Styela clava: one gene and its partner. The protein of the gene in region 1 binds, or shares a complex with, the protein of each later gene. Links are inferred from orthologs where the notes say so. Each region holds a gene or a part of one and is shown in the gene's direction. Other genes may lie near its edges. The genes, in order: mediator of RNA polymerase II transcription subunit 24-like and mediator of RNA polymerase II transcription subunit 25-like.

Region 1 (16,898 bases):
ACATAATCCATCCAAAATCAATAGGCTTCTGATCCGAGCTAAGATGAATGCACATGCCCAATGTGGTGCAGATTGAACCTCGCTTTCGTGAGATATCGCGTGCATCTAACACACAGACATACAGACAGACAAATACCTATCAACATACTTACCGATCAAGATCGATAAGTAAAAACAAAGAATTTTCCATGCATAAAGGATGTTATTTTAGCAAACATATAAACAGGTCAAGATTTCATGATAACTCTATTTTAATTCCTGGGTCTAGCCCAGGGGTTCCCGAGAAGATTTCCAGGGGTACTTGGATGGCAGTCGAGTTTTTTCGTGTTGCTGTTTTTCAATATCCTACATTACTACAAAAGGAAAATGGGTGCCGGGTGCCCATTGAAACTAGATGCCAATTGGAACGTATATTTTCCCTGATCTTGCGTTGTTGTGATTGTGTCGCAACAATGTGAAATTCACGGCTTTGCAGGCAAACTGTGAAATTTCCAAAGACAATGTGCTGCGAGCATCGGAGAAAGTGATTATGCTTATTGAAACTTGGGAGAGATTTTAAAAATACATTACGGTAGTTAGGTGGAGGACAAGGGCAATAATTTCAACACGAAGATTTAATTTAGTTACATCTGGTCAATAAATTGCTGTTGCAACAAATTGTTAATCAATATATCAAAACTTTGTCCGGTGTCTGATTACCGGGGGTTCACGTTGATTGTTTCGTGGCTCGGGGGGTACCTGACAGAAAAAAGGTTGAGAACCCCTGGTCTAGCCCTTCTGATTGTTTAAAAATAGACGATCTAATAATTGGATTTGCCGATACCCATAACAAAAGAATATAAAATTCATGAAGACACAGTAAAGGCACAATTTACTGCCAAACTGCAACTTGAGAGATGAAATGCTATTTTACCTCCAGAAACATGTTTTATCTAACACAGTAGTTTTCAAACGGTGGAGTGTGTCCCACAAAGAAAGCATGAAGTCAATTAAAAATAAGCATATTACTTAGATTTGATCTGTCCCGCCTTGTTTTGGATCTTCACATTTCTTTATTTTGGATATTTACATTCCATCCACGTATTTTCAACATGATTTTTGAATAAAACATACTTTCGCCTTACTATCCGCTATTTGTAGTTTATTGTCACTTGTCAGCTAGTTATTTTTAAGGTGGGACTTGACAAATTCTAGAAATAGGGTGCGGCTTAAAAAGTTTGAGAACTCCTGATCTAACATATTCAGAACAACTTACATTCCCTATTTTTAATTTCTTCTGCGCCTCAACAAGAGCTTCTTTTACTTTTGGCCACATAGATTCAGCAATATAGGCCCGAGAACATGCAGAACATTTTTGACCACTGTATTCAAAAGCTGAACGGATAGTTCCATTGACAATGCTGAAATGAAATTTAGAGTAAGTCTACATACATATCCAAATAATTGACATAACTCACTTTTAGAATAGCTAATATACTTATTAACATAGCGACCAGGATAGAAAAAAAGCTCACTTTTCGATATCTCCAGATTTTATAAAATGGAAATTTTTTCCTCCACATTCACCTCCCAGCCTTGGAAATGTTCTGTATTTGTGAAGATTTTCTCCTACTTGCTTCCACAAACGACTGAATGTCCTGAAAGAACATTCAACATTGAATATTATTCTCGAATATACATGTATCTAGCTATGAGTAGGCTCAATCGTTCTCAGGGCATTTTTGTGCTCTATCCCAGGGGTGTCAAACATGCGGCCCGCGGGCCTCGTGCGACCCCAAAGCACTTCCAATGCGGCCCTCGAACGCTTAACAATATTTATAATATTTTGTGAGTTTTTTTTATCTAAACTTAATACATTTTTTAAACCTTCTAATAAAGTGAAATCGATTATTCACACAGAAAACCACAATTTGTGAAAGTAGTTTTGGAAAATTAAATTTTTTTTGTTTGCAATTGAATACACCTCAAGCTAGCAAAAGATAACTTAAAAAAACACTTCAAGGATTAAATAAAATGCAAAGTACATGAAGAAGGTGGCATTTTTGAAAAAAATGGGAGTTGCAATATTTCTACATTTCTCAAAATTCTAAAGCACATTGTTTGATTTGTCACATTTCCATCAGTAGGCCTACAGTGAAAGAATACAATACAATATAGACATAAGTATAGAAGCTCAGCAGTCAATATGACAATTTTAAAGATCAACTTTGAACAAATTTTTTTATGTGTTTGTATATTACATATATATCATAATTATAAGGATACCTAGTTACTGAAAATCAATATATATCAATCATAGCTCAAGCGGTCCACGTATGCCACGTGATGGTAGGAAATGTCTAGTCTGAAAAGTCAGTCATTTGTTTGTTTACTGATCTATACATGCAATGATAAACGTAATATTTTTGTATTACTGAAATGAATCAAACATTCTCAACGATCCAGAATAATCGATGATCATGTGGCCTCTTTAATTAGAGTTGGCACTGTAAAATCATTTCAGCCTGATATTAGTAAGCCTGTGGCACAGAAGAGCTGCCAAACGTTTGCAAACGAACGAAAAAAAAAACAGTTTATTCTGTAGTATTTTTGTAAATTTTAGGCTTATATATTTAGATTAGGTACTTTTTGGTGTATGTATTATTCTTTTCTTATCAAAACTTTGTTCAAAAATGTTTTGGATAGTTGTACATAGAAATTTATGATTTTTTGTAATAAATACAGAAAATTGCAATAATATCGAAATGCAAAAATTAATATGTAAATGGCATTTAAATTCGAGAAGATTTTGCATTACAATATATGTCACAAACTATACCTTTTTAAAAATAGGCTTCAAGTATACATTATCAAAATATATCAAAAACTATTTGCGGTCCTTTGCACAATTCCCAAAATGCAATGCGGCCCTCGAAAACCCACGAGTTTGACACCCCTGCTCTATCCGATACTTTAACGAGTAACATTATAGAAATAGAACAATGCTTGAATATAAGGACATAAAAATGGCGTCTTTCTCAAAAGCAGAAGAAATGGGTACCAAAATTAATTCTGAAGACATATGAAAAATTATAACCATAGATTCATTATGTTCTATCTTAACAACGAAAAATGCTTAGTACTCTGAATGTGTAAAATCCAAAATTGATTCAGGACATATGTCATAAATGCTTCTCGCCTATATTTTTACATTTGATGATCACGATAATTCTGTTTATGAACATTGTGTGTAACTCACTGGACATTTCCTGTAAAGTTTATACCAGCGAGATATTAACACAAACACATTACTCATTGTAGCAAAAGCCACACCTCGTAAACGCTTCTCGCCTATATTTGACATTTTACGATTATGATAATTTTGTTTACAAAAATAGTGTATAACTCACGGGACACTCCCTGTAAAATTTATGCCAGCGAGATGCTCAGAAGCAGTAATTGTGTCACCAAAGGTTGGTCCATCAGCAGGCAAGAACTGTATAACACCAGGGGGTAGTCCACACTCTTCTAATATTTTGTAAACAGTCCAGTTTGACAACATAGCTGTGTCACTTGGTTTCCACAGTACAACATTTCCCTAAAAGGAAGATTGAAAGTAAGAATATATTCTAGGACAATAAGGGAACATTTTAAATTCAATAGCAATAAGACCTATTTTCCGGCTAATAAGCAGACTTCACTTTAAATGAGGATTTTTCCGTATTACCACCAAAGAGTCAGAAAAATTATGATACTTCTCTTCTTCAAGTAGGCTCTATTTTTATAGATTTTATTTTACTCATTGTTTACTTAGTTACGCGCCAAATGAGCTCTTTCTCTTTTTGATACGTTTACAGATGCATCAGATCATTGTCCAAGAAAGAAATGACAAAGAAGATATGAATTTTTCTTATCTCTTGGCTCGCATTAAAACAGTGAAAGTATATTTACCATCATTGCAGGACTTCCAGCTAAGTTTCCCCCAATTGCTGTGAAGTTGAAAGGTGATATAGCAGCAACAAATCCCTGTAGGATAAAACAAGCATGATACATAGGTCCTTACTATTATAGTAGCATCAAAAATTTGAAACGTTCATGCAATGTCGAACTAGATATATTCTGTTCACTTCAAAAGCAGTATCTTCTCGTTTCGAATAAACATAACCCATAAAAGAAGAATTTGGAAACCTTACATTAGTTTTCAAGAACCATAAATAGATCAAGACTCAAGTATAAACAAACATAGCAGCTTTCTGTTCAAACAAATAATGTATTGGTTGTCTCCTGTCTCTCTACGATAGAATAAAACATTTTTGACAGTTTTAAGTTTTCTCAATTAGCATATCTTGTTTGATAGAATGTTAACTTTACTTACTTCAAGGCCCCTGTATTCTGTGGTATTCGTATATACATCTGGACTTGGACTAATAGGTTGTTCTTGAACCATATCCAGGGCATATTTTGCATTAAATCTGAAGAAATCCACCAACTCCGGACCGGCATCAATCTCTGCTTGTATGATACTTTTACCCTGGAAAATGAATTCATAAATAAAAAGTAAGCTAATCTATAATCAAATATAAAAGTGAATTTGGGTTATGTTAATTAATTAATTGACATTAGTCGGTATTTGTGTCTTCGTTTATACATTTCCAAGGGATAACCTCTGTTGGCTGTGATCTCTCACCCATTTATTGTTAGTGTACTTATCGGACCAAAAAACCTTTATACCCAAGTTTTTTGACAAAAACTTCAGTTATCTGGGATTCACTACTTCAAAGCTGTTCCCTGATTGTATAGGCATGAACTGCTTTACTAAGTCTCGTGTCAATTGGTATTTATCTATGATTTTACAATTTATTTATATCTTTCAGTATCTCCCCATAACTTCGCTCACAAACAGGGATGGCCATTTCCGAATACTAAACTATTCCGAATACATTCTAAAATAATGTTTTCGAATCTGGAATTCCGAATACATTCTAAAATCGAAAATAACACATTTTTGTTTTAGTTTATTAAAACCCACTAAATCAGGAAATAAGCATCAATAGAAATATCAGAATGAAGCCACAGACCAACAGTATATGTACACAAAGTAATTGATAGTTTATAGCTATTAATAAAAAATAATAGCAACTTGTGACACAGTCAGTTTATTAAAATTATTCACTTTGTACAAATGACCATATGAAAAGATAGCCAAGGAGTTGTCTGATGCTTTCTATCATTGGTATCATGATATTACGATAATAGTCGAGTCTATTGACAAAAATACTACTTGCATTCAGATAATTGTGTATATTTTCTGAGAGTAATTAAATTTATTGGCAATACAGGCAACAACAATCGAAAATCCATCATGCCTTTAAAAATTCTAATATTTAAGCCTTGAGTATTCTACTACCTACCAGTATATTTGTATATAAATTTATGTGAACCATATTGTTATTATGTGTAACATATAGTTGTGTTTGGAGTTGGAAATAAATTAGTAGAGAATAGATGACCACCACTGCCAGCGCGCAGCCAGGATTTTCGAAATCGGAAATTCCCATTGCCGCCTGTAAGACCCACCGCGATTCCGCACTTGTTAAAAGAGCCGTCTTGTCAGCGTATAATGATCATTCTGTTAGGTAAAATATTCAATCCATGACAACTACGAGATTCTAAAATATCTTTATATATTAATTTAATGTGTCCAACATAACTCGCGGTTGCTTCTTCTTACGTCAAAAAAAAAAAACATTACTATTCGGTCCACGGCAATCTGTGACCGAAAATTACGAGATAAACTGCCTGATGTATTTAATTTTAATATGTATTTTTGCAATCTTGCCAACTCGTTATCGCCGTTAGAAAAATCTCAAATATTTATATAAATTCATGTTAAGTGTAGAGAATAATTCATTTCATACAATGAATATACATATAAAGTTTAGCAGTAAATTAGAAATACATATTCATCGCCGCGATTATGCCACCTGTTAGAAGAGTCGACTTTTACAACAAATAATATAACAACGAATATATATTTTTCTGTTGTGCAAAGTGATGAATTCGTGACCGACACGGGCATATTTAAAATGTCTTGCTCTTATTAATTTAATTGTCTTCAATTTATCCTGCGGTTGCGTCGACAAAATAAAATCCTAACCACTCTTATATACCGTTGCAAACCACGGCCATAAAAATAAAAACGTGAGGTAAACTGTCCGATTAAGTATTGTTTTTATCCGTATTTTGCGAATTCGGCAAATATTCAGATGTACTTGTTAACAGTGACTCCGCTCGATCGAAATGCTCAGAGTAAAATATCTCAGAGTAAAATTTATTTCATCACAATAAAATTGATTGAATATACTTTAGATTAATTATATTATATACATCCTCACAACCAGGGAAAAAGTCGCGTTTCATTCAAACCTTGTATCGTGTTAACACGAAAATATTCGACGGCAATTTAAATGGATAATCAGGCAAATCCCGCCCTCAATTAGTGACGATATGTTTCTAAACGCCGACCAAACATAATGTGTGCCAGAGGCACACGAATTTTGCGATTTTCACTGCCTAGAAAAGCGTTTTTTAAATTTTCCCGGGCCTCAATAAAACTTATGTTGTTCACGGTTTTATTTTCAGTATTTTAAATTGCCGCTTTTCAATCAAAAAGTTGCGTTGTCTTTAGAAACTCGCCGCCGATGAACGTATTTACCAGATTCACAATTCCGTGCGCATACAAAAATAAAATAAATGTTATCGTTATCGTGGAACAAATTTGTGGAAAATTTTCGTTTCAGAGAAAATAACACAATCGTAAAGGCGTTTACGGGCCTAAATAACACGTTACGCTGATGAGTGATGAAAACAATCACGCGCAAGTTTTCTATCGAGAATGTTTTCATTCAACGGAAACATCTTGAAAACGGCGTCGAAAATGAGTGACGTCACACAAATATCCGATATTCTTATGAACTTGAATTCCGATATTCGAATGACGAGATATTCGAATACATTCGAATACTTTATTCGAATTGGCCATCCCTGCTCACAAAGATCAAATTCTATGACTAATGAAAATCTGTTGAATATAAATCATGTTACCTGTCCCGCCATTGTAGTAGCCAACACTTCTGCTCTTTTTTCTCCAGCAATTTTATCTGCTGCTTTCAAAAATATTTGAACCCTATCTTCAACTGGTTTTCTTTCCCATTCAGCCCGAACAGAAAGACAGTTTTCAATAGCTTTGTTTATGAGGTCAGAAGAAGCATAACAAAACTTTGCTATCTTTTGCTTGTGGTTATACGGCTGTAGAAAAACATAGACAAAATATGGTATAATGGTATATCTAGATATTAAAAAAATTATGTCAAATATGAAATAGCGATGAAAATAAAGCAAATGTATTCTGAAAGTATCCAACACATTTACATAACCTAACGCTGATTCGCTGAACATAAATAAAAAAAATTAAACAAAAGTGTGCACAGTTTATAATGAATAATCCCATCAAAGTGAAAATCAGACATAACAATAGATTTTATCTTCGTTATCTTTTCCCTGCTTTCTTTACAGTGCAAACCAGAAGGATAGGTTAGGATTTCACGGACTTAATCATAAGGCATACCACAGCCTCTCATCCAGTTACCAGTCTATATCGGGTATGGAATTAGTTAGCCAGATATTTATGAACTATTATTATGAACTTGAGCGAGTGGATGGTTGGAACATGAACCACCTTGAGGTGAGTCTAGCAATCCTCTCACATATAATCATCCCCTACAGGATTCAACTCATGTAAAGTAACGGGAAGTGCGATGGCAAGTGTATTCCTAACAGTTGGTGCAATTCGAACTTACCGAGACTTGATAATGAATGTCGTTTGTTTTAACATGTTCACCGCCAATAACAATAGGTATGTCTTCAACACGAGATTCAACTAATTTCAAAGCATCCAAAACATCTTGTCTTTCTTTTGATCCAGGAGTAAAGTCATAAATCGGTTCATTCTGAACTGATAGACTTCTCGCAGTTATTTGTAACCTTTCAAAAAGGAAAAGATTTTGAATAAAATGCTTAGCAAATATTTTGTATTGACCATTGCTGTATTAAAAAGTAAAATGTCAAGTATTGCCCTACTACTGTACAAACATTATTTAAGGATTGAACTATACACTCAATTATATCAGTATCAATTGGAAATAAACAGTAAAACATGTTTGGTTATAAATTCCGGGAGAAAGACCAGCAGCTATGAGAACTCAGGAATTGTTCTGTAACAACAAAAAATCTGCAGATACAGAGATATCTAATCTATCTGCACATAATTTAAATTTAGGAACTCGTACAAAGAAATTGACCAACTTGCTAAAGCACAAACAGTGGGAAATAGCATGAAAAAGACCATGGGATAACATTTTTTATATCTTTCGGTGAATATCTGTATATAGAAAAGTTGATGCAACAGCTTAATTCAGTAAGTACAGGTACCAAAAAAGCCGATACCTAACAGCTTTTACCAGAATGTAATAAATTGAGTACACAATGCCAGTCCTTCAGGTTTAGCAACTGTATGAAGTACGGTATCAGTGGCTACCGTAACTATCTGACTATCAACCGTAATAGAGTCCTTCAAACTATGCAAACTATCATCCAAGACACGCAAACAAGAACCCGAAATCGAACAGCAATTTCTCTCGTTTTCTAGTCGCAACGATCCCGATAGGAGAGACATTGCTAACGTTAGTCAGTTCTCTATCGTCGGCGCCGATGCCATTTCGGGCAATCGTACGAGTATTTGGCAAGCTCTATGATGTGATTTTGACGTCGCAGTGACGTAATTTTTGGATGGCGTAGTCAGGTTAGGGTCTCATGTAGTTTCGTACCTAACGTACTTCTAGTAGGCGTAGCATAACAATTTTCTCATGTGTTAATCGTAACCCCCACCTGACCACACCATCCAAAAATTACGTCACTACGACGTCACAGTGACGTAATAGAGCTCTTCAAACTATGCGAACTGTCATCCAAGACGCGCAGACGAGAACCCGAAATCGAACAGCCATTTCTCTCGTCGCAACGATCCTGATAGGAGAGAGATCGCTGACGTTAGTCAGTTCTTTATCGTCGGCACCGATGCTATTTCGGGCGATCGTACGAGTATTTGGCAAGCTCTATGACGTGATTGTGACGTTGTAGTGATGTAATTTTCGGATGGCGTAGTCAGGTGAGGGTCAGGATTGGCATGTCAAAAAATTGTTATGCTACGCCTACTAAAAGTACGTTAGGTACGAGTACGAAACTACACGAGACCCGCTCTGAGTGCAGGAGTGAAGCACTGGAACACTTCTCTCTTTATAGCAAATTTTTGGAAGCCTCAAAGTATATGTATTGATATTAAAAATTACGCACCTGTGTTGCTTTAACCCGGTAAATATTATCCTTCTTCCAGAAGACAACATTGCGCTATTCTGAATGCCGTACAGTTTAAACAAAACGTGTTGCACCGCGAACTGCTACACTCAAATGCAGATTCGGTCAATCCGCAAGGAAATCCGCTGTGTTGACAGTCCGTAGGTTTGGCTTTTCGCAGCCAATCAAATAATAGAAACGCGGAACGCCCATTTATCGGATCTGCTTCAACTGGGCCTCCCCCTCCTTTATGGGCCACAGGAATATTTTTAGGTGGGTTAGGAATCTATTAATAATTTGATTGTAGTAGCAATGAATTATCCTGCTGTTTTTTGCTACAGAGTGGTAGTTTTTATTCAAAGTAAGTGTCTATTTTGTTTTGTTTAGAACTTTTGTTTTTCTCGTACTTTTTCCTTTTAAAAAAATTTGGTGCAACTTAAATGCGTAACGAGAGAAAAAAAAACTGGCTCACTGGCTCGGACAGATTTTCTTGGACCAATGCCGGAGGTACTAATTATTTGACATGGAAACTTATAAAGATATTTTACAGCCACCAACAAAAAATTGAACCAATTGGCTTGGTTTAAAAATTACATACATTTGAATCATTTGTCGTGTATTCCAATTTTAGAAAAAATGTCAAAAATATTATTCCGCATGATGGTGCACAGGATTTTTGTTCCCATCTGTACTTTGGAGGATTATCACAAAATATTACGAGTTATGAATGTTGGTCGTACCGTCCAGTGGTTTTAATTAAGATGGATTATAGCCTAGTGAGATAAAAAAGTTTTTTCAGTTGTATTAAAAATAAACAATTGCGAGTTAAAAAATATTTATAAAACATGTATTTTACTAGAACTAAATAATCAGTGTTTTTCACATTTATCATTAATTGAACGTAATGCAGTCATACTTCTTCTGTGTACTGCAAGATATAAAATATGGTTAGAAAGTAATGCAGTTATTTTTGAAAATGTTAATCCAAGTGTAAATAGTGTCATAACAAGAATTAGAAAATCCCTTTTAGCAAGGAGAAATATAGAACAACTTAGACATAATCCTAGTTTTATAAAAGAACTAGACATAATTTGTAAGATTCTATGACTAATTGTATAAATTTTTATTTTTCTGCTATAAATTAAAAACATATAAATTAATGTATATTTACTGATAAACATGGGAAACTTTATCTGGAATCAACAATGGAATAATATGAATTGCTGGATAATACTGGATGATGTTTACGAATATATTTGTTTATTATATGTAACTATGTTCTATGATTATTATTTTTTCATCATTTATTTATTTTTACAAAACTGTTATGAATCCACAACGTGGACCTTTAAAAAAAAAAAAAAAAAGAGATAAAGAAGTTAGTGTTTTACAAAACTCGAATAGAATAGAAGACTTCAGTTTATACATATGTACTTAATTATTTGATTTGTTTGCAGGTCAAAAAATTATGCAGGTGTCAGTTCACACCGTTTTCAAAAATGTAGTTCTTAATGCTTGGAAAGAAAGATGGAGTGAACAGAAATGGACTTCAACAATGAGAAAATTACTACAGCCAGGGAATGTTGTTGACATGTTTCATATGGCTGATGTTCTCTTCTCTCAAGCATTCATCGGAAGCACACCTAATACAGTTCTTCTTAGTTATTTTAATTACGGACTCAAATCGGGGACTTTGTCTTATGCAGCTATATTGACTGCCATTTCTAAACATGAGGATCTTCAAAACACTGCTAGCATGGATTATACTTTGAATATACTCATGAAATATATAGAAAAACTAAACAAGGGACAAATTCTAGAAGACAGCATGGGCCTGTGCAAAGCTTTGCTTGTGATTTTGCAATGGCTTTTGAGAAATATTGAACAATATTTAAAAAGGGGTTCAGGAACTTCTGGAGTTGAAGCTGAGAATTTGCAAATTCAGAAAAACTGCTCAACTTTGCATTCCTTAACTACATTACCGAGAACTGCATCTCTTCTGACTATTGCAAGATTTGAGGAGAGCAGTGTTTGGAGCCATATTGAAACTGATCTCGCTGTAATTAAAAATGCTGCTGTTGGACATAACATGCAAAATGATGTTAATGTATCATGTAATAGTGTATCTCAACTTGCTCGCTGTAATACAAAAACATCTGCAGTATTCTGTTTGCCAAAAATACAAGGAAATGAATCTCATCATGGCATGTTGGTGAATATGTTTATCCTCCTAGAAGGTGAATGGAATAAAATGACTGATCCTGATACTTTAATTCAACAATTGCTGTTGCTCTCTCAACTTTGTGATCTCAATGTTTCAGAACTGTGTCTGGACTTGATACGAGCCTGTATGATGGGATTCTTAGGCAGCATTGATGGAGATAGGAAACACAAATGGTCATCTGTACTTTTTCTTTCACTTCCCCAACATCTTAAAAGACTTAAATCTGCTATTGTGTCAGGAAATGGTTCAGATTTTAAAAAGCTGTCTTTAGAAACAGATTTTGAAGATGCGACGGCAAGTGCTTTTTCAGAATTATTGCAATATGACAGTCTTCTAGATGTGTTAGACCAAATTACTGGAAATTGTGATTGCCTAAGTTGGCTCATTGATCGTTGCCTATCTTTCGGCATATTAAAAGAAGATGCTGCAACAGAGCTGAAAACACGAAGACTCAGCATGGCCAAAGTTTCATCACAGCATCCAACACACGCAGTAGAACCGAGCAAATTGATAAAATACGAGGCAACTGCCCGTCAGTTACTTTCAGTCATAGACACTTCTGCTGATTATATTTCTAAACAAGAAAATTTGCTTGCTACATTGAGTCAAATGTCAAGTAACTTTAATATTATCTTGGCAAGTGGCTCAATCACACACAATGTACAAAAGTTTGCTAAAAAATTAATATTGTTTAATGATGTTGTGAAATCCAGCACTGCCGAAGGCGGTAAAAGTGCACAAATGAGATGTCTTCTTTTTGATTTTACGCATTTTCTAGTCTGCCAAATTGCTGAACAGTATGGAAAAAACGTTGTTTTAGGATCTATGGCAGACATGGATTCTAGTAAATACTTTCTATACAACTGGATATCTGTTTACTGGCCTGATGATAGAGGTCAAATATTGAGAAATAGTAAAAGCGAACTTGATGTTGATGACTCTCGTATTAAAATGTATCTTGAATTGTTACAAAACAAAAGGGAACGAACTCAAGAACAATCGTGCAGTATAAAAAAATGGCATGAGATGTGCACCAATTTGCCAAGAGCATTCATCGAATTGGTAAAGGCATGGCAGTACAAAGTTGTGAGCAAAGCAGATGTGTTGGGTGCCTGTGATGTCATATGTAATATATTATCATTGTCTATCAGACTGACTTGTCTTGTTGAAGTAGCCAAATATGCTTCAACCGTTCCAAAACTATTCTGGAAGGAATTGAAAGAAGTCGTTGAAAAACTTTCAACGCATGGATTTATATCGCCACCCGGTCAAGAAATACATGCAGCAAAACGTACAAACATGTTTAAAGGTATATTGGAAGTGTTGATGCCAAATTCAAACCTACCTGGTGCACAGGATAACGAGCCTGTGAAATTTCCAGCTGATGTTCTTTCCGATTTAATAACAGAGTGCAGAGAGACAGGCTGGATAGGAAGAAATATGCTCTGTCGACTTGAAGCTGTTTTGAAGCGGTCCGGTGCCAAATGGTTTTGCCATCAACTTGTTTCACAGTTGTTGTCACAAACTCGCAAAGATATTGTTGAACGAACAGCTACTGTTGTGGGTGGAATATTTTTGTTAGATGTTGAGAGTTTTGTCATTTGCTTGTTAAGACACGAAATTCCGCACTATTTGACTGATGAAGCTGATCACATGATTCTCTCTGCTCCTGCAGGAAATGTTTTAGCACAGCTTGCTGTTAGCTGTCTTGCTATAGTTCTTCATAATATATCTTTACAACAAAAAGCTTGCCTTTCACAAAAAACAGCAAAAGAAAAGCTATCGCATCAACTTCTAATGTCTGGAAAAGAGTCATTGGCTTCTCATCAAGTACATTTCCAAGATGAAGTCGGACCCACTAAGTTGCGAAGACTTTTCAGTTCGACTGCAGAGCATGATTTGGCAGCAAGTGCGTTTTCATCTATACTTGGCCGCGAAAATTCTGCCACAGCTCAGTCTAAGCATTCTCATGTAAGAGAACCAGTATTGAGAGCACTTAGTTACGCATTAGATATTATGAATATGTCGCTTGCTGAACGACAACCCGGTCCTCATATTGACTTTGCAGTTTACTTCGTATATCTGGCATCACTGTGTGGCGAATTGGTTTCTCAAGCTGTTTTGCAGCTGATGCCATTAACCATGGTCACAGAACTGGCTGCTATGGCTAGTGATGGCACTTTCAAAATTTCCAAGTTTGATAAAGAATTTGATAGTTTTAATTTTGTGTTATCTGTATCTGACCTTGGCCACACTTTCAGCAGAAAAGTGGCTGCAAAGGCAATTTGTCAAATGGTTCTTCCCGAATAAGTCGATCATGTTGGAACATGCTCTTTAAAATATATATGATATCAAAGAATATAAATGGCTTGTGTTTCGAGAGTATATCTGGTTTCAAGCCCTAAATCTCAGCGCAGTTTAAAATATTTGACATGTCATCCCAATTTGAATAGATTTTACATATTTATCCCGGGGAGAGAAAGCCGGTTGGACCATGACCTCCCATCCGTTTACCAGTCCATGTCCGGGATCTTGCATCTAGCATTGTTACTTATCGATCTCTAGATCGGCAAGTATGTTGATAGGTATTTGTCTGTTAGATGCACGCGATATCTCACGAAGTCGTGGTTGAATCTGCTCCAAATTTTGCATATGCATTTATCATATCTCGGACCAGAAGCCTGTTGATTTTGGATGAATTATGTCGTATAATTAGCGAGTTATTAATTAATTAGTGATGAGACACGCGGTGTCACTATAGATTCATGAATCGAAACCGCAGTTTCGATCGATAAGTCTTCGATCTCCGATCAATATTCTTGTTTGCCAGTTATTGGTTTCAGATGCATGGACTTAATTGTGCAGCAAGCTGTAACCGACCAGCGATTATGTGAACAATCCAGCAACGGCGAGGAGTCCAGTCTCACTCTCGCATATAATTATTATTATCATAGGGATGCACACTCGTGAGAGGTGCGGTGGCGAGCGTATTACCAACGCTTAGCACGAAGCGCCAATCGACTGACTGCACTTTCATTTTGAAGGGGGAAGGCCAGAAATGGTGACGTTTTGTGGTGATCGCAATCGATCAAATGACCGCACGAGCATCCAACGCTAATTTTCTTCATATCGTTTCAATAGATCACGTGGTAGATTCAACGAGTTTCTTTAATAAACGAAGTTGAGAAGAGTGGCAGATAAATATTTTGACTCAGCCTAACATTGTGCTGAGCTATATTTTTCGATGTTAAAGCGTGTATTCTTCCATTAATTTAAAGTTTAAACCAAAGCCAATCTGGCCCAGGAGTATGCATCACAAAAATGCACTAATCCTTTTTTTGGACTTTTTTTTCTGAAATAATATCATCAACTGTCTTCGGAAGTGTTTCAGTTTTTTTTCTGTAAGCAAAACCAGTCACGAAAAAGCTAGGATAGAATACAATAAACTGCCAGTACTTTTTCTCGACAGTAGCTGTAATATTTTAAAGCTAAATTGTGTTTTTGAAGAAGTGTACTCGCTTACAAGCTCTAAATTGTTGGGAATATTAGTTATTCGGACAACAAACTCACGAAAACTCTCTCAAAATGAGCATCAAAAATTTTACCGTCGCGGCCTGCAAGTATAAAAGTCGATATGCCAATCGAGAGGGTTAGGGGCAGGGTCATTTTGCAATTGATTATATTTTACTAATTGATTCAACTTTATAACAGCCAGTACAAAGGACGTTTGATCAAATTATGTATTTGGCCAAGTAAGGTCTATACAAACATACACACGCAATGCAACATATAGAATAAATTCACTTCCAATGTCTCAGAACTACGAAGCTGTATGCTCTTCAACTTTTTAGTTTAGGGAGGTGTTCTCAAATTTAGCGGTGGTTAATATTTTGCTATTCCCGATAAAACTATTTGTAACCCATAAAAACGTGTTATGTATTTGACTGACCATATACGCGCCAGGTTCTAGGTACACTTACAATCAAATACAATGTGTTTGAAATTTCAGGCTGGGTGTTCAGCCTCTGTAGGGGGTGTAGGGAAATCACTGTAACGAAGTGAGATCCGCCATGAGGTACATGACGCCTGCATTTCGAGTCGGATTGTTTTAGTACAATTTGGAAGGGCTTTATCGCTATAGATATTTGAAATCACGGCCAAGGCTGTAGGTTAAAATAAATACCGTAACTCCCCGCGTGGTATTTGCACCTGAATATAGTGTGCAAAACGAGTCACATATACCTCAAACTCACCCATCCGAATTATTTATATCGTTGTGAAACTCTAGCGTCTCTGCCTAGTAGAGCGCCCGAGAACAGCAAATTACGTTTTGCATTCATAGTTCCATATTGAGTTTTAAACCTCCGGCCCAGTGACCAAGTCTGTTATCCGTAAGTAAGGATGCCAAGTATGAGTACTTAAAAGTATTGGATTCTTATCCGATTCCTAAATTTTCGAATCCGATTCTCGATTCCTCGACATATCTTACCGAAAACACATACCCACCTAAGCAATACCATATGAAATCAAACAAGAGCACGATGTTCAAATTTTGGACTGCCAAGAAGGCCGGAACTAAGTAGTATGGGTATCCAATCTGTCACAAGAGACAAAATCGCACACAAAAAAACGAATCCCTCGGAACCCACAGAGATTTTAAAATAAATAAACGTTAAAGCCTTCTATCGAAATCAAAGACTAACATACCAATCGAAATATTATATATAGTGAAGTGAAGTTTGCGTCGTCGCAGCAACTAAACATAGCAGTGAAGCAGTTTATACAAATATGTGAAGAAATTGCCACAAAACTTTACACATTTATTTCAATCCAAGTTTTAACCTCGAGAATCGAATCCGGACTCATTTCCGCCATCTCTATCTGTAAGTGGCCCACTTAGGAAGGTAATACCTCTGCTGTATACGAATTAAATTGAAAAACCTTGAAGGGATGGGTGTGAGAATGGGAAAGTCTGAAGAATGGCGGTTTTGGTGATGACTATTTTTTGCTGCCGCTGTATTTGACATTGGGATTCCGGTAAATTGTCGGGAAAATTTGGACGTGTTTTGGTTCCGGTCTGGGCACAACGACAATACTGCACGATCGACGCCAAGTAGGCTATCGAGCCTTGTTGGTGGTGGATGACCTCGGTCCTATCTTAAATTTGGCCTCGTTCGCATGACTACGAGATTGATGCGTTGTGCTTGATACGAAATGCATTGCTGAACTAGCAATAAATCCCACTCTTCTGAAACCCTATTCTGCGGCTTACACAATTTGTCTG
Region 2 (16,883 bases), on another chromosome or scaffold:
TTCGCTATTTGAATCAGTTAGAGACCTTTAGTCCATTTGCTTTCGATTTTCCACATTCCTTTTGAGCTCCTCACTTCTTTCCGGCTTCGCATTTCCGTTTTCGCAGCATGACGCTGGAACAAAAATTAAAGGTACAACGTCTTGGGCCTTATCAACCAAAAAATTGTTCACTGGAACAATCCCATGATGGAGGAAAGCGTCGGCGTACATTCTGCGCAGAAACTTGGTTTAAAAAACACGAATGGTTGTGTTACAGCGAGGACAAAAATGCACTTTTTTGTTTTTATTGCCTACTTTTTGCTACCGCCCGTGACTCACGTTGGTGTAAATTTGGTTTTAGAGATCTTAAACATCTTTTCGAGCGTGCCAGGGATCATCAATCTTCTATGGAGCATCTGGACAATGCAGTAAAATACCGAACATTCGGAAATGTTAATATTGCAGCACAGTTGGATGAAGGACGCGCGGTTTCTATTCGTCGGCACAACCAAAACGTCGAGAAAAACCGCCATGTTCTCGGTTGATTGATAGATGTTTTGAAGTTAATTGGTTGTCACGAGCTGTCCCTCCGTGGGCACAATGAAGGGGCTGGCTCTTCTAATAGAGGGGTATTTTTGGATATGGTGGAATACACCGCATCCCTAGATACAGTATTGAGAGATCATCTTGATGCCGCAACTGTTTCGAAAGGGACATCTAAGGATATCCAAAATGATTTGCTCGACTCAATGTATAAAATTTATTTACAACATTTGGCTCTGGAAATTGAGAATTGCCAGTTCCTTTCGATTCAGTCTGACGAGACAACTGACATCACGTGCGTTTGCGAAATGTTTCGGGGTTTTCTTAATTTCGCCACTGGTAAAAAAAAACTATCTATTAAAACAGCGTTTCCCAAACATTTTTGGCCACGGAACACTTACGCTTTTTATCTCGCCTCGTCGAACACCAAAAATGAAAGGGTAAAATTGATAAAGAAAAATGATGTTATGCAGCGGTCCCAAAAGGTGCGCTACTACCGTATTAGTGCGCCGCGGCGAGTTGCCAAATGCGCCGCGAAAACTAACAAAATTGGGGTCTCATGTAGTTTCATACCTAACATACTTCTAGTGGGCGTAACATGACAATTTTTCACATATCAATCCTAACCCCCACCTGACTACACCATCAAAAAATTACGCCATTACGACGTCACAGTGACGTAATAGAGCCCTTCAAACTATACGAACTGCCATCCAAGACGCGCAAACGAGCACCCTTAATCGAACAGTTAGTTTTCTCGTCGCAACGATTCCAATAGGAGAGAGACCGATAACGTCAGTCAGTTCTTTATCGTCGGCGCCAGATTCAGATTCAGATAATTTATTGATAAAGCGCCAATGCCATTTCGGTCGATTGTGCGTATATTTGGCAAGCTCATGACGTGATTGTGATGTCGTAGTGATTTAATTTTTGGATGGCGTAATCAGATGGGGGTTAGGATTGACATATCAAAAAACTGTTATGCTACGTCGACTAAAAGTACGTTAGGTACGAAACTACACGAGACCCCAAAATTGTATTCAACATACCTAAAATATGATGATAAAAGAAGTCTGACCTTGGTCAGACGAAACGTTACAGAAACATAATTGTATTAGTGTGCAGCAAGACTCTTGAATCATTTAGGATTGTTATCTCTACTCTTGCTACAGCATCCTTGCAATATATGCTTACGGATCCATCGGCACAAAAGCATAGAAGAAGGATAAGTAGTTAGTCTCGCAGAAACCAAATAATCAGCGAATATTTTGCTGTGTATCCGAATCAATAAATTCATTTTACCTTTCTTTGTCGTTTCTTTCTTTACATTCTATTACGTAGTGTTTGCCTCTAATGTTACCTAACAATGGAGTTAGAAGTACTTGGTGCAATTTTGCGAGCTGGAGTTTGTTTATCTGCTGAATCGAGTTTAGCGAACATGAGTGATTTTTTCAACATTTCCAAGTAAAACCAGGCAGAGCTTGAGAAAGAAGAGAACTGACCCTTTGCCTTTGTCCGATTTAGGCCGACCGTGACGCGATATCGAACGGGCCAGTTGTGCGATAACTTCACAATCCCGAGATAGCTATGGCGACCAATTTAGTCGTAATTTTGGTCTCTTTCCCACGGAACACTTGGAAGATGCTCGCGGAACACAGTTTGGGAAACGCTGTATTAAAACATGCGGAGGTATCGTCGTAAAATGGCCTATTTTTCCCGCAAAGTTGCTGGTTTGAATGTAGGAATCCCAATGAATTTTTCTGTAAAAGCATGTTTGGTAGTAGCCTGCCACAAGGAAAATAAGTAAAAACAGACTGTACTACATTATAGGAAGATTGTGACAAAAAGAAAGAACGACACAGTCAAGTCTGTCAATGTATCGCCCGTAAAAATTGAAGACGAATGAGTATGTATCCGGCGATACCATGAATATGCCATCAATCAATAAACATGTGCCTAAACAAGGCTTCAGTGCGAATATCTATGTTCTGATACTCGGCTATTATTCATTCTGCTCCGTAATACAATACCCGTAAATTATGCTTAGAAGCTGTACAACCCCTTACTTCAACACTGCCAGATTCCTGCCGCCAGTTTACCATCTCGAGTGATAAGTTCTCGATCAACCGGGCTTGTTATGAATTAGTTGGCTGGTCAGCAAAGGCGTGCTTGGCGTTGAGCGCTTATCTCAGTCCACAGGGATGGTTTCAAATCGATTTGACCGATTTTATCAAATTGGGCCCCGCAACTTAAAGGGACCCCGCGCTAGTGGGGGTCTTTTTCTGTGTTATGAGGTACAAAATACTACTGAAAATGCAAAATAAAAAGTGCAATAATATTTCTCATAATATTAATTTGTTATTCATGGGAAATTCAGTAAATCATCGTTATGTCACCATTAGCAATTAAATTCTTCTGTTCTGCTTTATTCAAGAAATTCAGATTAATAATTTTGTACTGTTTTCTAAAAAAGATAAATATAATATAAAAAGGGCGCAAGTGTTTAGGTGCTAACCAGATAAGATCATTGGCGAAGGCAAAGAAAGCTAAAAATGAAAAGCAAAGAGGTTCTATCAATAAATTCCTTGTAACCCCATCTTTAAAGCGCTCAAGGATTGAAAATGAAAAAAATAACAATTCAGAAAATAATATAACCATGGATCCAAAAACAGTTGATCAATACAATTAGGACAAGAATAACAAATTGGAAAAGAATGACACAACTTTGAAAAAAAATGAAGACGATCTCAATTCATCACATCACGACATTCCCAAGACAGAAAGCATAATCATAACCGGATAAAGCCCAGACATCATACAATACAAACCTTAAATTTGTTTTATAGCAAGTATTAAATGACCATTTTTATTTGGTTTGTATGTATTTTTTTTATGAAATATAAACACCCATGAATTTTACTATTAAGATGATTGTATCGACACATAATTTTATTCTAGGATATAATTTACATATTCCTGCCTCCCGTCCGATCACCAGACCGCGTAGGGCATGGGATTAGTTAGCCAGATATCTGTTTCAGTTGCGTGGACTTGATGGTGGAGGAAGCCATAACCGACCAGCAGTCACGTGAACCACCCTATCAGTTCAATGTGAGCTATTTTCTTCCTAATACGAAAAGAAACAACAAAAAGTTTTACTGTTAAAAATGTTTGTCCAAATTATTACCTTTTCCCGCGAGTTTTTCTGAAAGCAATTGTACTCAAAATCCCTCCAACTTCAAGACAAATCGCTAGCAGCTATGTGACATTTATGGAGAAGCAACTGTTTCCCGTTTAATTAAAAATAACTAATTAAAATTAAACTGTGAAATCAACTCGATGAACAACGGAACACCATGGATTTAATGAAAATGCATAAGATTGATGATGCTGTTGTTAATGTATATATATACTTATTGGACACGTAGTGGACATAACGATCGTTTCAATATTATGTTGTTGTTGTTCTTGTTTTTGTTGTCCTTGTTGTTGTTCTTTGACACGTTTTTAAAAAGTCGCTTTTCTCTTCGAATACTGGACCAATTGCTTTGAAATTTTCAGTGGTTGAAGATAAAATTTTTCTCCAGAAGGCTATTACTTTTTTTTTCGCTATGACGTCATCAAAATTATTGCCATTGGGTGGCGCTACGTGTCCATATATTTGAGCATAGCTCTCTTGTTACTTATCTATTTTAATCGTTAAGTATGTTGATAGGTATTTGTCTGTCTGTCTGGCTGTTAGATGCACGCGATATCTCACGAAGACGTGGTTGAATCTGCTCCAAATTTTGCATGTGCATTCATCATATCTCGGACCAGAAGCTTATTAATTTTGGATTAATTATTCGTATAATTAGCAAGTTATTAATTAATTAGTGATGGGATACGCGGTGTCACTATAGAGTCATGAATTGAAACCGCAGTTTCGATCGATAAGTCTTCGGTCTCCGACCGATATTCTCGTCTTATTAAATATTTAATTATTGAAAATTCCACTTTGTTGGAACCATAAAAAAAAAACATACTCCAACGAAATATTGAAACCATACGAAATTGTTTGCAATCGTAGCCAATATTAAGTTCTGCGAGATTGTCAAATAAGAATTTCAGTTGAAGAGATTTTAGCATTCGAACGGTTAGGTATTAACCACGTTATAATGCTAACTATGTCGAAAAGCGCTCAAAAGTAACAGAAGTCCGGAGACAGGGAAGAAACATACATCCAAGGCGACGAAAACAAGAAGTATCGAATCGCACTTTCCAAAAAAGGAGTTCAACAGATACATACGGTGCTGTTTAGCAAGAAAAGTAAAATATGAATTACGTTGATGAGCGCACGATATTGCAACACAGCCAAAATGTTTTTTTTTCACATAACTTGCGAAGTCCCTCTAGCTAGTCTAGTAACCAAAAATGGTGTCATCATGAAACGTCAAGTGTTCTGAAAACCAATTATATTCATTTCGATTTCCTTATAATACTCGCTCAGGATTCATACCTGAAATGGTGATAGCACCTTGGCACCTACGTACATTTGCATCCGTTAACTGCACCCAGGACACTTGCACCTGAATACTTTTGTAGCCTACTCACCGACATTTGCACCCTTAAATTTCCACCTATTAGTTTTAGCACTTGCATATAGATTGCGCCCGTGGACATTTGCACTCACGAACATTTGCATTCATGGACGTATGCACGTACGGACATTTGTTCCCAGGTAGGCCTAAATTTTCATGAAAGGACATTTTTACCTAGGTACATTTGTACCCACGCTCATTTGTATCATGTACATTTACATACACATTTGCATCCATGGACGTTTGCACGTACGGACATTTGCTCCCAGGTAGGCCTACATTTCCATGAAAGGACATTTTTACCTACGTACATTTGTACCCAAGCTCATTTGTATCATGTACATCTTTACTCGCGAATATTTGCACCTGCAGTCATGTTAGCTCGCGAATAACCATGTTAGACAAACATCAATTACGAACTATAAATATATATTCGAAATGAAGACGGATTACAAATTTTGAGCATCCTGTATTCTCGGTGAGGGTCGTTACTCGCTACGTTTTAACAGTTATTGCGAGTTATAATCCTATCACACCCTTGTCGAATTTACCGGGCCAATGAAAACTGGTCGTAGTCTCGTCAGTGGTAAACCAATTGTAAAAGACAAGAGAAACGTGCTTCGAAAAAGAACAATAAATAAGAGAAAAACAGAGAGGGAGAAAATGACCTCGAGTTTATTTATATAGATTTATACAGAACAAGTTGTTTACCTCACTTTCCAACTCTTTGTGTTGTTGCCTCATAATGGTGTCTATTACCGATGCGAGTTGTTTTCCTCCAGTTTCAAGGGTTTGCTCGTTCTGAGTTAATGTATGGAAATCCAAACAATCATATTCGAGTTCTCTTTTTCTTTCAGCTCAAAGACACATGGAATTTAAACGAACTATAAAAACATATCAGTATTTTGACTCCATACCTATTCAGCAATCAGCATAACCATTGACATGTTTCATGTCATTGGCATAAGAGACGATAAAACTTTTGATAAAAGCAAAGAAATAAAAACTGATAACCAGCTCATTTAATTTTTTTTTTAAACATATTAAGGAGAACTCTGCGGCAGCCGGTACTGTTTGGTATATGTCACACACAACGTTTGTCTGAAGTTCCATTTTTGCTAGAAACACAACCTTGGCAGTTGGAACCACCATCAAATTTAAATCGGATCGTTTTATTGACTCCTACGTAACTAACATAGTAAGCCAAGTTAAATTTCACCATTCCGTTGTTTCATTGCGACGTCGTTTCCAGTACCCTGTAGGGGATTTCCTAGGTACGGTAGATGACGTTTTGAGGCAGTGTGGCTTAATTCTGGTATGTTGTTTCCGAACTGATGTGTTCCGCAATAATCGTCAAACCGCAGAGAGTATTAGAATCGTAGTCAGGGCTACATAGAGGATACTATTTGATAAATAATATTGATAATGTAGACTACTGTTGGTGATTCTTTTTGATATTATTTTATTCCCCTAATCTAATTATACTATACTTAAACTGTTGCCAGTATGCAGTAGTATTTAATACCGGTAATTGATGTAATCTGGATTACAATTTGATAATATTTTGGCATGTCTTTGATGAATGAAAAGGTTTAGCCCACCTCTTCATGCACACAACTTTGGTTGGGCAATTTGGTATTTGACTCCAATTATAATAATCTTGGCGAAATCTTTTTTTTTGTCCTTTATTATAATAGTCTAAATACTGTTCATTCTCGTTTGAGAATTTTCATAAAATTATTAAATGGCGTGGCAAACAATTTTTATTATTTTTGGTTGCCATACAAATTTATCTGAAGCTTCTCTTTTTTACGAATTTTATTAATGCCCCATGGTTGTGTGTATGTGTGTGCGAGTGTGAATGATTTGATTCAATAGTTTTAGGTGAGTGAACAAGTACCACTTCTTTTTGGCAATACCTTCCATCCTATATTCTGTACGTTTTAAACCTTGTGCAAGGTTTTGTTTACTCTCCTGATTCAGTGATTTCATAATCAGATTTTAATAGTTTGTTTTTATCAATCATTTTATCGCCTTTCTGCTGTTTATGGAGTTGAAATAAACTTATCTAATCTTGTATTTTTCATTAAAAAAAAGAAAAATAATATGATATGTAAGCTACTTCAATTTGACTAAACAAAGGTACCGGTACAGTACAGACAGACGATACGGTAACACTAACTACCTAACGAATAGACGACTACAATAATCTGACAACAGAATCTTACAGATACATTTTAATAATTGATACACTTCAGTTGTTAGGGTACGATACGTAAATTCAGGTCTGGGAGAGCTGTTTTTATAAAATGAAAACGTGTTATTGATAAGTAACTTAAATGTTCATTGGTTCCATATTTCTGTATTTTGTATAGGCCTATCTGTATATTCGAAAACTAGTGATTTTGTACCTAGTAAAACATCCCCCAAATATAAGCCCTAAGTTGGTGGTATTTTTCTAAAGAAAATTGAAATAGGACCCTGTTATATTCGGGGAAACAAGTTACGGTATAATAATTTTAAATTCTGAAATGAAAAGTTAGATGCGACAAATTTAATGTGAAATTTATATTTGAAATTGAATGTTAAGAAAAAGTATTATCTAAAATGGTAGAATATATGGATTGACGGATTATAAAATACAAACACACAAATGTAAAAACTAATTTGATGGTTAGGACCTAGAGCTGATAAAATTTCTGGTATTTCCATTTATTACAGTATTATGGTACTGGTATGCTTGGCTCCAATTACAGCTCCTGTTCTTCAGCCCCAGCGGAAATACAAACAAATGGCCAGATGCTAACAAAGAATAGCCCTGGCATTATAGGTCATACAAGTTCCTCAACACCAAACTAAAATTGATCCAGTATCAATTGTAATTCTGAGAGAGCCCCTTTCTAAATCACACGATTTAATTCTATTAATTTATACTGATCGTACTTTATAGAAATTTTTTTTCTATCCATTTTGAATTGATTTTACACAATTTTGTATTGCGAAAGGTGCCGTATTAGTATACATGTCCACTGAGCAGAACATCGGGCACTTGTATGTTTTCCAGGCACTTTGTGGACTATTTTTAATTCTGAATATAGAAAAAGTAGAATACTTTAAAGTAGGGCTGTCCAAAATCGAATAATTTTTCGATTTGAATCGAATATTTTTGCCTAATGGAACCGAATAATCGAATATCATTGCGCAATCCTAAATCCGTCTCTAACATACAATAAACGCCTGCCCTTCGATGTTGTGGAAACGTATGTGCAGTTACATCTTACTTACAGCTGGTATTTTGTAATACAATGTTTTCAGATTTATGAAAGGAGATCACACGCTTGTATGAACTGATCAAAAAAATTGGAGGACTCCAAAATTTGGGTCTCGAAAATTGTTGAGTGTTAAGAGTAATAATTGCACTATTCAAAAATTGCAATCTCAATTCTAATGGATTCAGTTGTAATAGGACATGTAAGGCCTGTAGATGCTATTTTAATCCTATTCACTAGTCTTATGTTTTTTTTGTGTAATTTTCAGCAAAATAATAACAAACATTAATATAGATAAAACTGTTGCTCAAATTCAAAATTGCATTTACCAAATTCAAAGCTAGTTTGATGACAATATTATTCTGTTATTTGATGACTATAATATTGTTAGTGTACAACAGCCATCGAAATTCAAGAGCGCAATTATTTGTCTTGGTATATAGATGGATAATACAGTATTGCCATCATAAGAAATTACAAATTCCATTGAAAGAAGTTCTTGCCATCATAAGGATCCCAAAACACCTGTTTCAGCTTTGAGTTACCTGTACTGTACCATGTTCCTATGATAACTAACTCCACAGCTTCAAATCGATTCTATTTATGGAACTATCGTTTTCTAAATTGTATTTCACTTACAAACTGAGAGAGGTGCTAATTTATTAGACTTTCAATCTATTTGTTATAACATTATGCAATACTTACCTCAATTTCACAGCTTGATTATAATTGAATTATATTCTGAATATTTCTCGATTGCTTGAAACATCACATCCTTTAAACATGGTTGCATCGAAAGATCCAACAGTTGTTGATTTTATTGTTGTGGTTGAGGCAACAGCCAATATGCTATCACATTGGGAAAAGATAAAGAAGTCTTATATAGGGCCAGCAATTGAATATTTTAACGGAAGACAGCCATCCCCATTAGATTATGTTGGTAACCACGGCAACAGTCAGTTCGGCTATGTTCTCTTCAGTTCTGCAGACTGTGCCCCTGATTTAGTAACAAGATGCTCAAATGTCACCCAAAGCCCTTGGGAGTTTTCCCACAGTTTGAACTCCATTTCATTTTCTGGTGGAGGATGTGAACGATCTAGCCTTGTGTCTGAAGGTCTTGGGAGGACCCTACAGCTGTTTGATGAACTTGCCCAAAGGCGTCACCATGAACGTTCCATGCAAGTATGTTTTTTGGTTTGCAATTCTCCACCTTATGATATTCCATGCAGTGAAGCTTATATGTACAATGGTCACACTGCTGGCAAGCTAGCAGAAATAATGGGTACTAAAGGTATTCATCTCTCAGTGATATCTCCGCAACAAATTAGGTCTCTCAAGGACTTATTCATTTCTGCTAATCGAAATGAACTTCCATCTATGAATTATGCTCAAGATCCAAGACATCTTGTTCTTATCAGCGGATTTCAACTTCCTACAGAGCGTGATCCTGTGAAACTCAATATCAAAGATGAGCAAAATCATTCAAAAAATGCATCGAAAAATAACACATTGAATTCAATTTCTGCCACAAGTTCTTCCTCTATTCCAAGTCCATCTCAACATCAAACTGCATCATCTACCACAGTTACTCACAACACACAACTAACTTCTATTGCATCATCTCCCGGTTCACTTTTCTCTACTTCAGTACCACAATCTCAGCCTGGACAGCTAATCAATACAGGTGCAGCATCCACAAATACAAATCAGAACTCATTACCTTCAGGGCAGTCTGTAATGAGAACACAGATAGCACAGGATTTAAATTCAACTTCTCTTGGAAAGCTGCAAACAAGTTTGCCAAGCTTCTCTGTAAGCCAAAATCTTCAACCTCAACCGCAGCAGTCTAACATGAGTATGAATTTTACCAATTCCAAGAACTCAAATATATTACAGTCTGGCAATGACTCTCCTTATTCCAGATCATCTCTTGGTCAGGCATCTAACAACAGCGTCATGTCTCATGGATCTGGCAATGTGGGAACCACAAATCTTAAGGACATGCTGCAACCAAATGCACATTCGTCACATACGCAGATACCTATTTCCAATGTTACTTCGTTCCCACAACCCTCAGATAGTAGTGTCAACATGGTTACAAACAGCATGGGAGGAATAACGGCCACTATTCCTGAAAATTCTGATGGAATGTACAACCAACAAACTCAACAGCAGAATGTATCCATGCAAGACCAGCAACAACAGCAACGATTAGGAAATCAACAAATAACTCAACGCATAGGTGATACATTCTCTTCTGTACCTTCAAACATGCAGCAGGCGCAGCCGTACAGTACTCCTAATGCATTAAATTCCGGAATGCAAAGTAATCAACAAATTTTGTCAAACAATATTAATACATTTACTTCATCATCAAATTCTTTCCCACCAAACCGTGGCATTCGACAGAGTTTCAATTCATCTATGCCCTCTCAGCAATCAGGATCGATTCAAGGAAATGTCACTACTATGCATCAGATGAATAATCCAATTCAACAACAAGCTGGAAACATGGGCATTGGTGGTTCAGCACAACAACCAACCCACCTTTTAAATCATGGGCAAGAGCTACCATCAACATATCTTAACACTGGGAATGTTCCAAAACCTGCTACAAGACAGCCAACAGACAACATGAGGATAACATGGGATGGCATTTTAGAATGGACCGAAAAAAGAAAAATAGCACAAGGAATTCAAGGAACTGCAAGAACTAACCACACTCTCCAATGCAAGGTATTGTTGCGCTCAACTCAATCAGATGAATCATTGAATGCAAACCTGTGGCCAACCAAACTGAACATGCAACTTATTCCTCAAATTGTATTCACTTCAATGAAAAATCAAATGAAGAATAATATTTCTGTCAGTTTGCGAATGTCCCCACTTGACCAAATGCAACAACTGGCAAATATTATGAAAAATAAGTGGATGGGATTAATCCAGATACCTTCTCCGAGTCAAAATTCTGCAGAAAATAAAGTTATGCTAGTAATATATTCACAAAAAACTTCTCAATTTTTCGGGGTTCTTCCACTTGATCCCCATAATTTTATACAAACAATCAGATCTGTAATAGCTCGACATAATCCTAGCCAACCAACGCAGTCTCGGCCAAACAATCCTGGTGCACAACAGTTACTTCAAGGCAATGTGGATCAGGGTGGAGGAATGTCAGGCTTGAGCTCATTTCAACCGCAGGGCAATACTCATTCAATGGCACCAAACCAGTTCAATGTGCCTAATTCAAATCCCAACATGAGACCGACTATGAATACTATGCAACAGCAGTCTATGACAAGAAGCGTAATGAATACTGGCATGTCTCAAGTGAGAGGAGGTATGCAAATGCAATCTTCTCAGCCCCAGAGAACAATGAATTTTGGACCTGGTCAGAGGATGCAAAACACGGGTCAGATATCCAATCAGCAAGCGATGATGATAAATCAACAGCAAACACAACAACAACAACAACAGATTACACAGAACAGCATAAATCAGCCACATATGCAACAATCTGCAAATCAGCAGTTTATGTACCAGAATAATATTAATCCACAAAGAAATTTAGTTCAGAAGCAAATAGACCAAAATAATGACCCTATGAGGCAGCAAATAAGAATGAGATTTCAACAGCAGCAGAATCAAGTACGCCAGGTGGGTCAAATGTCAGGTCCTGGATCTCATGAACAATTGAGGACGCTTCTTCAAAGCGGTAACAACATGGGGCAGAATATTCAGCGTCCAAGAATGCAAAACATGAATACAGGAATGCGTCAGACACCACAAAACATGGCTTCTGGATTTGTTCAGAATCAGCAAGTGCGGCATCCTGGCATGCAGGGGGCACGTATGATGACAATGCAACAGCAACAGCAGAGGTTTAATATGCAGTAACATTGCGAAAATGGCTGACTGTAGAGATTTGTTGCGAAAAATAAATTTACCATCTGGACAAACTATTATACACTCAACCAAACTGTGAATTATTCATTTGCTTGACTCAAATGACTTTATGTAAATATTGATTCAAAAATGATCCCCTTTATTCATATATTTAGGGGATTTCTTTTTTTGTTACAATATGTCGCGCAATTTGATTCAGTAAGTCTCAATGATAATAGTTCCTCTTTTATTTGATTTTTAAGCAGGTAGTGTGTTCCAATATAGGTACTCCTGTAGTATGTGTACCAGGTTAGGCCTTAATTTCATGCTGATTTTTTCTTATCTTAGTTCTATTAAGAGTTCGGGGACTGTCTGTGTTAGCCAAGTGCCTATTCCCCTCTACACAACTTGATATAAATAGGCAAACAAAATTTAGTCATCTCCATATTGGTACACATACTTCTAGAGCTTTTTATTTACGCTTAGGTTACTCCTTCGATTACCCCAATGAGATCAGCTCAATATGTTAATGAGATACTGCCAAAAAGAGTTACTGCTCTGTTTTTGTATTTTTTCCTTGAAATTGTTTTGTGAATCATGTTCTTTTCTTAGAAAAACTCAATTGATTTACTTCTCCATCTTACTATTCTTATTTATAAAATCCATCGGTAGCAACCACAGCCAATTTGAATCATTCCCATATTTTGAACAATATTGGTCAAATTAGGGCCTACAACTTCGCTCTGTTAAATGCCATTTAAAAGCTGGGTTGGTGTTTTTTTGCTAATATATTAATATTAATCTGTCCATGTTCCGCTATTTGAGATTTTAAATTTATGTCGGAATCTAGTTAAAAAAAAAATACGGTCAACATGAAGTTTTTAAGGCGTTACTAGTTTGAAATGGAGATATTGAGTTCAATCAAATGATATCGCCTTTCCCAAAAAAATATTTTGAGTGTGAACAGTTTTTGTTTTAACATGTCACACTCAGTTTGATGATGGGGGACACTGGCCTGATCACTTGTTTTCAACTGCTGTTTTGTTGTATATACTAATCTTATTTCTATTTACGTTTTTATTCTTTTATGATATTTAATTAGGGTATATTTTATGACCCAGTTTCAACCTTTCCTTCAAACAAGCTTTTCAGCAATCAGCCACCGTCACATAGAGCCGCTACTACGCTTTTCGGGACAGTAGAATTTTTAGTTGCGAACTACCTGTTCAGTGAGTTATTAAATTGTGTAATTTTTCAAGCATTTTTCTTGAAACATAATTTTGCAGTAGACTGCTAAACTCGTGTAGATTCATGTGTGAATATACATATAATATATAATTCTCTTGAAAGCAGTAATTTATTTATAACAGCAAGTTTGTCCGTTTCATCACGGTTGAGCAGCTCTCAGAATCATTGAGTAAAATTTCTGCTTTATGTCTGGTTCTCATTATGCGCAGCGTAATCAACGGTATCATCATATACCCAGAAGTCGACTAATCAGATTGGCAAGAGAAATGATTTTTTTTTAACAGCACAAGGAGTTATTTAATTACCGTAGTTACTTTGGTAATCTTTTTCCAGTAAATGTAAACTAGACCGCCAAAATTATCTCTATCGCTTGCAGATTGATTTAAGGTGATTGAGAAAATTTAAATGATATCCATGGATTAACAGTAAATTTGTTCGCAGGGATATAAACGATATTTCGTTAGCACGCATTTTCCCCTCTTTGCAATCACATACTATTGGCAGATAAAATAGGAGTTACGATATTACAGATTCATAAAAATTTACTACATTTTGTATGCAAGATTCAACAAGTTGCAATGTGATTTTAAAAATCATTACAACACATTCATAGGTTTGCTGCACTTCTGCAAAATGAGTATTTCAAAAACATGATAAAGAAATTATTCAATTATGGTTGATTATTGAATGTCGTGACAAAAACCGCTGGTCTTGAAAATGTGATCTTTCGAACATTAAAATTCATAATTCAGATGCAATTGAAGTATTATTAATCAAAATAGATCGCGGTTTGCGTTGTTTTGTCCTTATTTATGTTGCATAAAGCCTGAATTGCAATACGTTTGACCATCTCTGGTTTCGTGTTTGTATCGACATACATCCAACTATATCTACATCACGTATGTTTATACGGTTCGATATTTATATAATGTGTTTACTAACTCTTTAAATATCCGTGGCACACAAAACATGAAAATTTTTTACTCATAAAGAGTGCGATAGTCGAACGAGAACAAATGGTTGATAGTTACCGATATTACAACTGTTTTCTTACATTAATGTAAACGAGAGCGTCTTCGGAGCACCTCACATTATTGTAAAAGTTGCCCGGCCGCACGGGTAATACGTGGTCTTCAGACGCACCGCTGATCACGCACTTCGGTTTTGCTCGCCCTTCCACGTTACGCCCTTATTGCTTGTCACATGTATTCTCACTTATTTACAACCTAATTCATTTTTGTTACAATTCAATATGTTTCTCCCATTGCCAAAATCATTCAATAGTGTTATTGCCGATACTGGCGAGAGAAATGGAAGTGACAAACAAACTGTATTTCATTACAACGATATTTGTCATAATTTGATGACAAAGATCATAGATCATTTACCATGTCGAAACGCTTATTCGACTTCTCAGGCCGCAGAAACTATCTGAAAAGATAATTTCTGACGCCGGAATGCGGATATTTGTTAAAACGATGGTTGCCATTCTTGATTTCACTTTTCTAATGTGGCTGTTTTATTTTCGTATTAAATAGTGATTGATTGATTGAATAAAAACGCACAAAGTCATTGCGTAAATCCTGAATGCTATTTTAAGTTCAAATTATGATTAAATGAGTCGTCAATAATGAAAATTCTACTAGTCGAATAATATTTCCTTAGTACAATTGAGAAAAATTTCGCACAATAATTCTGCTTAGTCTGACCAGAGACAATGCATAACAATATAAAATCTACGGTCTGACCAACGACTAATATACCTGGTATTACTCAAACTGTAAGCGTGGACAGTTGTTACTCAAACTGTAAGCGTGGACGGTAAATTGATATAACCGTAAATATATACTACTACGGTATAACCTATCATTTGTGAGAATATCCATATTTGAATAACAAAATCTTATAATCTCGGGATTTTTAGGAAATAATTGCGGGATCGGGGTTGAAAAAAAACAGTCCAAATCCCGGGATTTCGGGATCGGGATTTCCCGGGGTCCCAATCATACTGGTAACCGGACAAGAGGCGGTGGTTCGCCACGTTATTAAGCCGTTTTATCGGCTTTCCTTTTCACGGGATAAACGGGTAAATCCTATTAATCACTCATGCATGTAGCTGAGTTTCTTATAGCGATTTCGTATCATAGCAACAACATTGAAGCTAAATTTTCCATGGAGTCAGCTACTGGTTATTACATCGTTTTTTCGTTGGTAGCTGTATTGGAAAAGTACTTGACACGATTTACTCGACATTGGGTTAGTACTACTAGGCCTATAGCTAGTACTAGTACTACTACTATTCGCACTATTCGCACACTATTATACTTTTCTGGTCACTGGGTTAGAGAATCATGTGAACTGCATTGCAAAATTGTACTGCATTATTTAAATGTGTATTTTTCTAGAACTTTGCAAAGATGGCGAACTGTGCTAAGCGTTAGGAATACATTTGCCACCGAACCTCTGTTCGTCATATGATTAGGCAATCGTATAGACTTTCCTCTCCCCTTCCTTCTTCAACATTAAAAACGTCCTACCATATAATATTGCAGACATTGCTAGCCAAATAAAGTGTATAATATGGTTGCACTTTGGTAGCGGTATAATAAGGCCTTAGAGCAGTGGTCCCCAAACTTTTTGTTTGTGTGGCGCAAAAATTATCAGGGAAAAAACTCATAGCACACTCACACAGAAAAAGAATTGCTGCCTTTAAATAAAACTCAATTTTGTGGGCGTTAATGTGTACTTTATGCGTTTTAATGTTTGAAAACATTAAGGCCTGAAGAATAAAGGCAACTTTTAACTCTTCTACTTCATTTCTGCCTGATTTTCCTTTGAAATACCAAAAAATTACTCATGTTTGCTAAACTCGGTTCAACAGATAAATAAACTGCAGCTCGCGAAATTGCAGCGCAAGGTAACAATAGAGGCAACTGTGTAACAGAGAGTAGACAACATAGAAAAGTCATGAATTTATTGATTCATATGCACAGCAATGAAAAAAACAATGAAAATTTATAATACATACAATATACAAAATATTCAATTATATATTAGTTATGTTTAACACAATTTTGTAAACCGCTGCCTTGGAGCACCGAGTTTGATGAAAATAATAACAGACAAGTGGGATGGAGCTGGTCACCTAGGTGGAATATAAAAGTATTCTTTTCATTTTCAACTAAAACAAAACAGCAAAATTTGGGGTAGAATATTGGGTTCTACTGTACTGAGGAAATTTTAGAAATGAATTAATAGCCTCCTAGCGGTTTTTTCCATCCCTAAGTACGGAAATTCAAAATCGAATAGTATAATTTCAGAGAAAAATAATTTTTCCCAACAATCATCAACAATCATCCTCAAGACAGTACCAAGAATT

The links.
Region 2: mediator of RNA polymerase II transcription subunit 24-like (region 1) and mediator of RNA polymerase II transcription subunit 25-like share a complex: the UniProt entries of both Homo sapiens proteins name them as parts of the mediator complex. The link is inferred for Styela clava from reciprocal best matches to the Homo sapiens genes MED24 and MED25.

The regions. Positions count from the first base shown.
Region 1 is NC_135252.1:17,328,465-17,345,362, forward strand, and holds mediator of RNA polymerase II transcription subunit 24-like, read left to right. Parts: upstream 1-9,563; 5' UTR 9,564-9,663; intron 9,664-10,847; 5' UTR 10,848-10,858; coding exon 10,859-13,924; 3' UTR 13,925-13,979; downstream 13,980-16,898. Other genes in the region: delta-1-pyrroline-5-carboxylate dehydrogenase, mitochondrial-like, read right to left, coding at 1,256-1,400, 1,515-1,637, 3,390-3,577, 3,931-4,005, 4,355-4,510, 7,084-7,287, 7,839-8,022, 9,391-9,440. UniProt on the Homo sapiens protein: Component of the Mediator complex, a coactivator involved in the regulated transcription of nearly all RNA polymerase II-dependent genes.
Region 2 is NC_135258.1:20,072,850-20,089,732, reverse strand, and holds mediator of RNA polymerase II transcription subunit 25-like, read left to right. Parts: upstream 1-9,052; 5' UTR 9,053-9,154; coding exon 9,155-12,268; 3' UTR 12,269-13,608; downstream 13,609-16,883. UniProt on the Homo sapiens protein: Component of the Mediator complex, a coactivator involved in the regulated transcription of nearly all RNA polymerase II-dependent genes.